2 linked regions of the Caenorhabditis elegans genome follow. The protein of the gene in region 2 interacts with the protein of the main gene of each other region in a pairwise test. Each region holds a gene or a part of one and is shown on either strand. Other genes may lie near its edges. The genes, in order: zyg-8 and gpd-1.

Evidence for each region.
Region 1: the proteins of gpd-1 (region 2) and zyg-8 interact in a two-hybrid assay, tested with the Caenorhabditis elegans proteins (one large-scale study listed by BioGRID).

What each region holds. Positions count from the first base shown.
Region 1 is NC_003281.10:12,060,095-12,064,912, reverse strand, and holds the start of zyg-8 (Serine/threonine-protein kinase zyg-8), read right to left. Parts: upstream 3,201-4,818; 5' UTR 3,175-3,200; coding exon 2,988-3,174; intron 1,989-2,987; coding exon 1,082-1,988; intron 60-1,081; coding exon 1-59. UniProt on the Caenorhabditis elegans protein: Probable kinase. Kinase activity may be involved in positioning of spindle poles in meiosis and mitosis. Plays a role in spindle positioning during asymmetric division of one-cell stage embryos.
Region 2 is NC_003280.10:10,392,008-10,395,854, forward strand, and holds gpd-1 (Glyceraldehyde-3-phosphate dehydrogenase 1), read left to right. Parts: upstream 1-2,121; 5' UTR 2,122-2,129; coding exon 2,130-2,652; intron 2,653-2,704; coding exon 2,705-3,137; intron 3,138-3,185; coding exon 3,186-3,255; 3' UTR 3,256-3,342; downstream 3,343-3,847. Other genes in the region: T09F3.2 (uncharacterized protein), read left to right, coding at 42-119, 364-604, 662-961, 1,011-1,088; T09F3.4 (39S ribosomal protein L22, mitochondrial), read left to right, coding at 3,731-3,798, 3,846-3,847.

The sequences.
Region 1 (4,818 bases), on a different chromosome or scaffold from region 2:
TTGCTCCAGAATCGAGCTTCACGACAAATGTCAGGTCACGGAGCACTTGGTCGAAGGATCTGGAATTTTTTTTTTTTTGGGGTTTTAAGTTTTTTTTTGGGACAAAATTTGAAAAAAAAAACGAGAAAATTAAAAATTCCCACTGCGACCAATCAGCGATTAGCTCCGCGCCCATTTTTCAACCAATCAGATGAAGTGGGCGGGGAGTTCTCTTTTTGGAGGGAATATAACCGAATTTTCACCAACCAATCAGCGCCTTCGAACTCCGCCCACTCCATCTGATTGGTTGGAAAGTGGGCGGAGCTAATCGCTGATTGGTCGCAGTGTAAATTGGGTTTTTGTGTTTTTTTTGGGAAAAAATTCGAAAAAAAAACAAAAAACACCGATTTTTTCCAATTTTAGACAAATTCCCACTGCGACCAATCAGCGATTTGCTCCGCCCATTTTTCAACCAATCAGATGAAGTGGGGGGGGGGGGGGGGGGGGGGTTTCGAAGGCGCTGATTGGTCGGGTAAAGTTTCATTTTGGAGGGAATTCAAAATTGATTGTTTTTTTCGCTTTTTTCCTATTTTCGTAATGAAAAAAAATTTTTTTTTTGTAAGTTGCGACGGTTCAACATTTTTAAGAAAAAAGACAAAAAATTCAAAAAAAATCTGCGACCAATCAGCGATTAGCTCCGCCCACTTTTGAACCAATCTGAAGAAGTGGGCGGGAGTTCTCGTTTAGGCATCTTCAAACTCCGCCCACCTCACCTGATTGGGCGAAAAATGGGCGGAGCGAATTGCTGATTGGTCGCAGAAAAATTCGAATTTTTCGTTCTTTCGCATATTTTTTTTTTGAATTTTTTGTCTTTTTCATTCAAAATTTTGAATCGCCGCCACTTTTTTTGGTTGAAAAATAATTTTTTTTTCCTTAGGAAAATAGGAAAAACGCGAAAAAAACAATCATTTTTGAATTCCCTTCAAAATGAGACTTCACCCGACCAATCAACACCTTCGAACTCCACCCACGTCGCCTGATTGGTTGGAAAGTGGGCGGCGGAGCGAATCGCTGATTGGTCGGGGCGATTTTTTGCTCTCACCTCGCCGTCTTCTTGTTCAACAAATGCCTACTAATCCGCCTTGGCTTCACCCCATTCCGAATAACCTTGATAATTCGTGGAAACACGAAATCCGTATTCTCATGACACGGCTCTACGACACTCAACGCCAGCTTCTTCGTCTCCAAGTGTCGATTGTATCGATTGGCAAGTGTCAGACGCCAACTTGGCTCGGCGGCTCTCGAATAATCGACCGGTTTGAAAGCGTCGGTACTCGAACACACATAACCACCGCCGTCTTCGAATTGATCTACGGAAGTGATGCGTTGAGCGCCGTCGATCGTGAAAATGTGACGGATTCCGTGTGGAAGAGCCGTCGAGTCACAGATTACAGTTTTCATCAAATCTTCCATAAGTGGTTGCATACTCTTCACCCGGTCACTTTGTAAAGCATACTGAATCCCTTTGAAATATTGATCCCCATTTCTATAGAACCGGAGTCGCTTGGCTTTCAGTAAATGCGGATACCCGGATGGCCCGATTCGACACCTCCGCTGCATTTCTGAGACCATATCCCTGGACTCTGCGAGCTCATCTCCATTCGTTCCCTCGGTTTCCATGGCACATACGGATGACGTCATTGACGCTTCCGCAGTGTTCGTGCCACTATTCGGCATGCTTCCCTGGGAAATTGCCGTTGGGAAGACGCTTGTCTGATTGAGATTAAGAGTCGATGCTCGTGGAGTTGTCAGTGTTTCTTCACTGATCACTGCGGTCTGATTGTGATGAATATGATGGTGGAAGTGTTGTTGAGGAAGATGCGAGAATCGACGATGTGCGGAGGATGTTGATGGAGCAGATGATGATGGACTGATCTTTCTATGAACAACTGGAGATGATGATGATGTCAAGACTGCGGAGAGAGGACGTGTCGAATGAGGGAGATGGGCTGGAAATTAGGATTATATTACACGGGAACACAAAAAAATATTTAACGCGCAAAATATCTCGTAGCGAAAAGAAAACTACAGTAATTCTTTATATGACTACTGTAGTGTAGATTTACAGGATCTCGATTCTTTAGATTCAATTATTTTCGAATAGTGATAACGATCAAGGGTGTCGGTTTTTTCGATTTTTGAAAATCGAAAAATCGATATTTCGAAATTTTTTCGATTTTTTAAAAATTCGCTTAAACTTTGATCATTGTTCTTATTTTTAGATGTTCTTTATCATGAATATATAAACAAAATTAGATTTTTAAAAAATCATATCTTATGGGTAATTTTCTGAATTTCGGAAAATAGAAAAATCGAAAATTTTAGGGGCCGCTTTTTCCGGCAAATCGGCCAATTTGCGGAAAATTTAAAATCCGGCAACTTTCCGATTTGCCGGAAAATTTAGGGGCCATTTTTTTCCGGCAAATCCGGCAATTTGTCGATTTGCCGGAAAAATCGTTTTCAACAGTCTGACGGTATTAATCATTTTTTAATAGCTTTTTACAAATAAAAATGTCTCTTTTTTCAAGTTTTCAACTCAGTACTATTGAAATTAAACAATCTATCCGTGAATTTTGCAAAAAAGCAGCATCGCACCGAAAAAGAGGCGGAGTGTAATTTCGTAATTTCGCAACCTTGCGGCACGGTTTTTTCTCTATTTTTTATTTGTCTTTTTTCGAATGAAAGTATTACCCAATTTACTTATTATTAGATTGTGAGGATATTTCATGGTTGTAAAAAAAATGAAATTAATCGAAAAAAAAAATTCAGAAAAAAAGGAGAAAAAACCGTGCCGCAGGGTTGCAAAATTACGCTCCGCCTCTTTTTCTGTGCGACGCTGCTTTTTTGTTGCAAAATTCACGGATTCATCATTAAAAAAAACCATATCCCGTAAGCTGAAGCAAGCAAGCCACCAACGGGGAAATTCAAGCCAAACACTCAATTCTTACGTCGTTTGAATCGTGGAATATTCGACGTTTTTCCAGCAGCGGAAACCCTCTTCGATACACGTGGCAATGTGTTGGCTCCATTCATAGATGCTCCATCCGATCCTCCAGCTTCAGATCCAGGTGGTGGTGGTGGTGGTGGTGGTCTAGCAGTTGTGTCGTTGAGCTGCCACGCCGACGTTTGTGGCATCGTTCGAGTAGAGATAGTCTAACACCGAAAAAAAACACCAAATTAGCGATAGTTAGGCGCAACCACGAGAGGAGGACGGAGCGGTGTCAGGCCGTCCCATTACGGTTTGATCTACCAAAAATGCGGGAGATGAGACGCAGATTTCTCAGCTGATTTAGCATCGAATGAGAGTGTACTGACGTCACATTTTCCTGGGGGAAAGTTCCCGCATTTTTTGTAGATCAAACCGCAATGAGACTGCCTGACACCACGTGGGGATATACCACGTGGCAACAGGCCGTCCCATTACGGTTTGATCTACCAAAAATGCGGGAATTTTTGGCCCAAAAAATGTGACGTCAGCACGTTCTTAACCATGCGAAATCAATTGAGAAATTTGTGTCTTTTCTCCCGCATTTTTTGTAGATCAAACCGGAATGGGCCTTGGATATGAAAAAGAGAAAGGAATGCAAAATCAAAAGATTGGACAGAAAATGAACTAAAAATCGAGGAGGACAATTCCAATCGGGTATGGTGCAAGTGCTATAGACGGGAATTAATCTTTTTTTTTGTTATTTTAGAAAAACAATTTTTTTTTCTGAAAAAAAAGTGGAAAATTCAAATTTTTTTGAGATTTTCTGAGCAAAATTAAAGTTTTCTGGGAAAAAAAATTTTTGTCGGGGATTCAAATTTTCCGAAAAAAAATTTGGCGGGAAATTTAAAAATTTTAGAATTTTTTGGCGGGAATTCAAATTTTCGGAGAAAATATCTATTTTGGCGGGAGATTCAAATTTTCTGTGAAACAACTATTTCGTCGGAAAATTCAATTTTTTTTCGAGAAAAAAAACCTATTTAGGCGGGAAATTCAAAATTTTTTTAATTTTTTTTTGGCGGGAAATTCAAATTTTCGGAAAATATCTATTTTGGCGGGAAATTCAAATTTTCCGAAAAAAAAATTTGGCGGGAAATTTTTTTTTATTTTTTCGAATTTGTTTTGGCGAGGATTCAAATTTTCTCTTAAAATAATTTTGGCGGGAAATTCAAATTTTCTGAGAAATTTTTTTTTTCGATTTTTTAAAGATTTTTGAAGCAAAATTTCCATCAGGCTGTCCCATAACGGATTGATCTACAAAAAATGCGGGAATTTTTCGCCCAAAGAAATGTGACGTCAGCACGTTCTTAACCATGCGAAATCAGTTGAGAACTCTGCCGCATTTTTTGTAGATCTAGGTAGATCAAACCGAAATGAGACGCCACGTGACACCAAAAAAAAGGAGATAATTTTACTATGCTATGACTAGCTGACAATTCGAATCATTGTCCAAAATGAGCTGTCCGCGAGCATTGGTCTCCAAAATGCATGGAATGTCGAATGTGGGAATTAACTAGGCGTGCACACAGAGAGCAGTGAGCAGTGAGCTGCTTCTCGTTTTCCTCTCATTCGAAAGAGCTAAAGGGCAGACGGGTGTTGTTGTGGGTTGATTTGGCTGACGGGAGGGGCGCGCGCGAGCCAACGCAGAGCCGGGGGACGGAATAGACGAGGGATTAGTTAGGGGGTATCCGGAGGGACCACAGAGCCAATTAAACAGCTTCTCATTTGTGCAGCGCCACCTGCGTCTCCGCCGAAAAAGGTGCGGTTTGTGATAAGAATATTACACGGATTTC
Region 2 (3,847 bases):
ACGATTTCTTGCGAAAAGTTAATGAATTTAAATTTTTGAAGTCAGGTTATCAAGACGGAAGGGATCGGTGCACTTTACAAAGGTCTAATACCGAATTTGGTTGGCGTGGCACCGTCAAAGTAAGTTTTTTTTTGAAAAAGTCTCGAAATGTGCATAAGGAACGAGATTTCTCACAAAAATTTTTATGGCGTTTCAAAAATTAAAAAAAACAACTAATTTTTGATAAACTTGGGTCTGCTAGACTAAAAACTACAAAATTAGATAAGATAAAAAGCATTGCTTCTAATGTGGCTGAATACTAGAAAATTTTTAAAAAATTGAAATTTTTATAATAGATCTTAACTTAAAAAAAAACGTTTTCAGGGCCGTCTATTTCTACACATACTCTACATCAAAACGATTTTGGAATGAGTCGGAAGTTCTAATTCCAAATTCTGCGATTGTGCACATGGTGTCTGCTGGTTCGGCTGGATTCGTGGCGGCATCGGCTGTTAATCCTATATGGCTCGTGAAAACACGCCTTCAGCTTCACCAAGGACACATTGGAATATGGCAAATGATTAAGAGAGTTTATCATCGAGAAGGATTCAAAGGATTCTACAAGGTAGGAATTTATTTGTAGAAATTTCTAAAAAAAAATCTTAATCTTCGCCTTTTTCAGGGTGTGACAGCTTCCTACGCGGGTGTCTCCGAAACGATGATTCAGTTTTGTATATACGAGTATTTCCGTGGTGTGTTGCTCAGTGATGCCAACGAAATGGACAAGAGAAAAATGGACTTCCTAAACTTTATGGTTGCCGGTGGTTCTGCAAAGTTTATTGCTTGTGTTGTCGCTTATCCGCATGAAGTGGTCCGTACACGTCTTCGTGAAGAAACAGGAAAGTCACGTGGATTCTTCAAGACACTTTATCAGCTGTACAAAGAAGGATATCCGGCAATGTATCGTGGTTTGTCAGTGCAGGTGAGCGATTCTTGATTTTTAAATTAATTATGAATTTAATTCATTCCAGCTGATGCGTACTGTACCAAACACTGCTATCACAATGGGAACCTACGAGTTTGTCGTCTACATGCTTCATCATCTATAGAAGGATCTGGTTTCTGCAGCTGAATACCTTTCCGCAATTTAATGATCTTTTTTTCACAGATCATATCAGTCTAAATATCATTTTTCTTCTTCTCATTTGGCCCTGATAGTTAAATCTCTGTTCTCTCATTATATTTATTAGCTTTTTGAAAAATGTAATTATTTTCTCTTTTTCGAGTATTCTAACGTTTTTAAATAGCAGATTCGACCTTTCTTTTTGCAAAGTTTAAAATAGTTAAGCCCTGTTTGTTTGTTTTGTTGAAAGCCCACAGGAACCAATTTACTACTTCTGTTCCTTTTCTCCATTATTAAATCATCCTTATCTTTCTTTCATCCGCCTCTTTTTCCGGTCGCTGCGAAAATGATTGTGTGCTCTCTTCCTTCCCCTGTTAACAGTTTCTTTCTTCTCCGGTTATCCGGCGGGTCGTTCTTCGTCGTTGCTGCTGATTCTGCTGCTGCTCATCCTAGAGCCTTTGTGTTGTAAAAACATGTTCTATTGAATAAATTCACTAAAAGTCGCAACAAGAAATAATTACAGATGTGATCAGCGGATTTAAGTTAAAACATCAATAAAACAGTCCGGAACTCTTGACAAATTTAGTTTTATTTCCGATTTTTCGGAATAAAAGCTCATTTTTCCAATAATTTTTGGTCTTCTCTTCATTTTTGAAGAAAATTAATTGATTTTTTCACCGTAATGTTTCAATTTTAAAGGGATGACCAAAATCAAACACCTCAGGTCTCGCGACGAATTTGACAAATATTTTTTGCGCTTTGCTGGCGCGCGCGAGCGGCAATTTTTCAATTATTCCAATCGCCCGCGCAAGTTTCTGCTGTTTTTCACCAATCTGGATTTCTTTCTCATCATTTATTCTCATTTAAGTTTCGATGCGGTTGATTTTATTTCACTGTTGATTTTGCTTTTCTTTCTTTTCTTTAATCTGAATTTTCGCCATTTTTATTCAGATTTGTTCCTTCTTAACTATTGCTTCTTGTGAATCTTCCGTCAAAATTTCATTCAAGTTTTCTTACAGACTCAAAAATGTCGAAGGCCAACGTCGGAATCAACGGTTTCGGAAGAATCGGACGTCTCGTGCTCCGCGCGGCTGTCGAAAAGGACACGGTTCAAGTGGTCGCCGTCAACGATCCGTTTATCACAATCGACTACATGGTCTACCTTTTCAAGTATGACTCGACCCACGGTCAATTCAAAGGAACTGTTACCTACGATGGAGACTTTCTGATTGTCCAGAAAGATGGCAAATCATCGCACAAGATCAAGGTCTTCAACAGCAAGGATCCAGCTGCCATCGCATGGGGATCAGTCAAAGCCGATTTCGTTGTCGAGTCTACTGGAGTTTTCACGACAAAGGAAAAGGCTTCTGCTCATCTTCAAGGAGGAGCCAAGAAGGTCATCATCTCTGCTCCATCTGCTGATGCTCCAATGTACGTGGTTGGAGTAAACCATGAGAAGTACGACGCTTCGAATGATCACGTTGTTTCTAACGCATCGTGCACCACCAACTGTCTGGCACCACTGGCGAAGGTTATCAATGATAACTTCGGTATGATCATCATCAAATCAATTTGTTTTTTTCTAATTTATTTTATTTTCAGGTATCATCGAAGGACTCATGACGACAGTGCACGCTGTAACCGCAACCCAGAAGACAGTCGATGGACCATCCGGAAAGCTGTGGAGAGATGGACGCGGTGCTGGACAAAACATCATTCCAGCTTCCACTGGAGCCGCCAAGGCTGTGGGAAAAGTCATTCCGGAGCTGAACGGAAAACTCACTGGAATGGCTTTCCGTGTCCCTACACCAGATGTTTCCGTCGTTGATCTGACCGTTCGCCTCGAGAAGCCAGCTTCGATGGACGACATCAAGAAGGTAGTCAAGGCCGCTGCCGATGGACCAATGAAGGGAATCCTCGCCTACACTGAAGATCAAGTTGTGTCGACTGATTTCGTGTCCGACCCTCACTCGTCCATTTTCGATGCTGGAGCATGCATTTCGCTCAACCCGAACTTCGTCAAGCTCGTCTCTTGGTAACCACTGAATGTTTAAAAAATCTATTCTAAATTTATTCTTTGCAGGTACGACAATGAATATGGATACTCGAACCGTGTTGTCGACCTCATCGGATACATCGCCACCCGTGGATAATTCTATCAGGATCTTTTATGTACAATCCATGTATTTCATAGCCATTTTTTATTACAGTCATCATTGAATGAACCTATTTTTCTGGTGAAATCTAGTACTTTTGTCATGATTTCAGAAAAGAGCTTGAAGTGACCTCTAAAGTCAATGTCTATTGAAATTTAATTGAAAAGGTACGGAGGCGGAAGCCATACTTTCCGTACTTCACATATAAAAAATGATGTCTGTGGTGTTGGTGAGATTAGAAATAGGTCTACTAGAATACAAACTACAATTTTCCTACCAACAAAAGTGCGGAAGAGAAAAACTTCGGCCGTGTAGTCCTCTCGGAGTTTTTCCTTTTCCTGCCTTTTGTATACAAATTTGTATGTATTTGCTTCGATTTTGTTTCTTGTTTACTATTTTATCAACTTTTTCAAGCATTATATTTTTTATAATTTTTAAAAGCATTTCCAGAATTGGCGATTTTCATATCTTCATGAATCGAGTACTCGCACGTTTTTGCTCTTCGATTCCTTCTTGCTCTCAACGGTTTACGGAAGAAGAGTAAGTTTTTAAAAGTTTTTGAAACCCACGAAGCAATACTTTTTCAGGT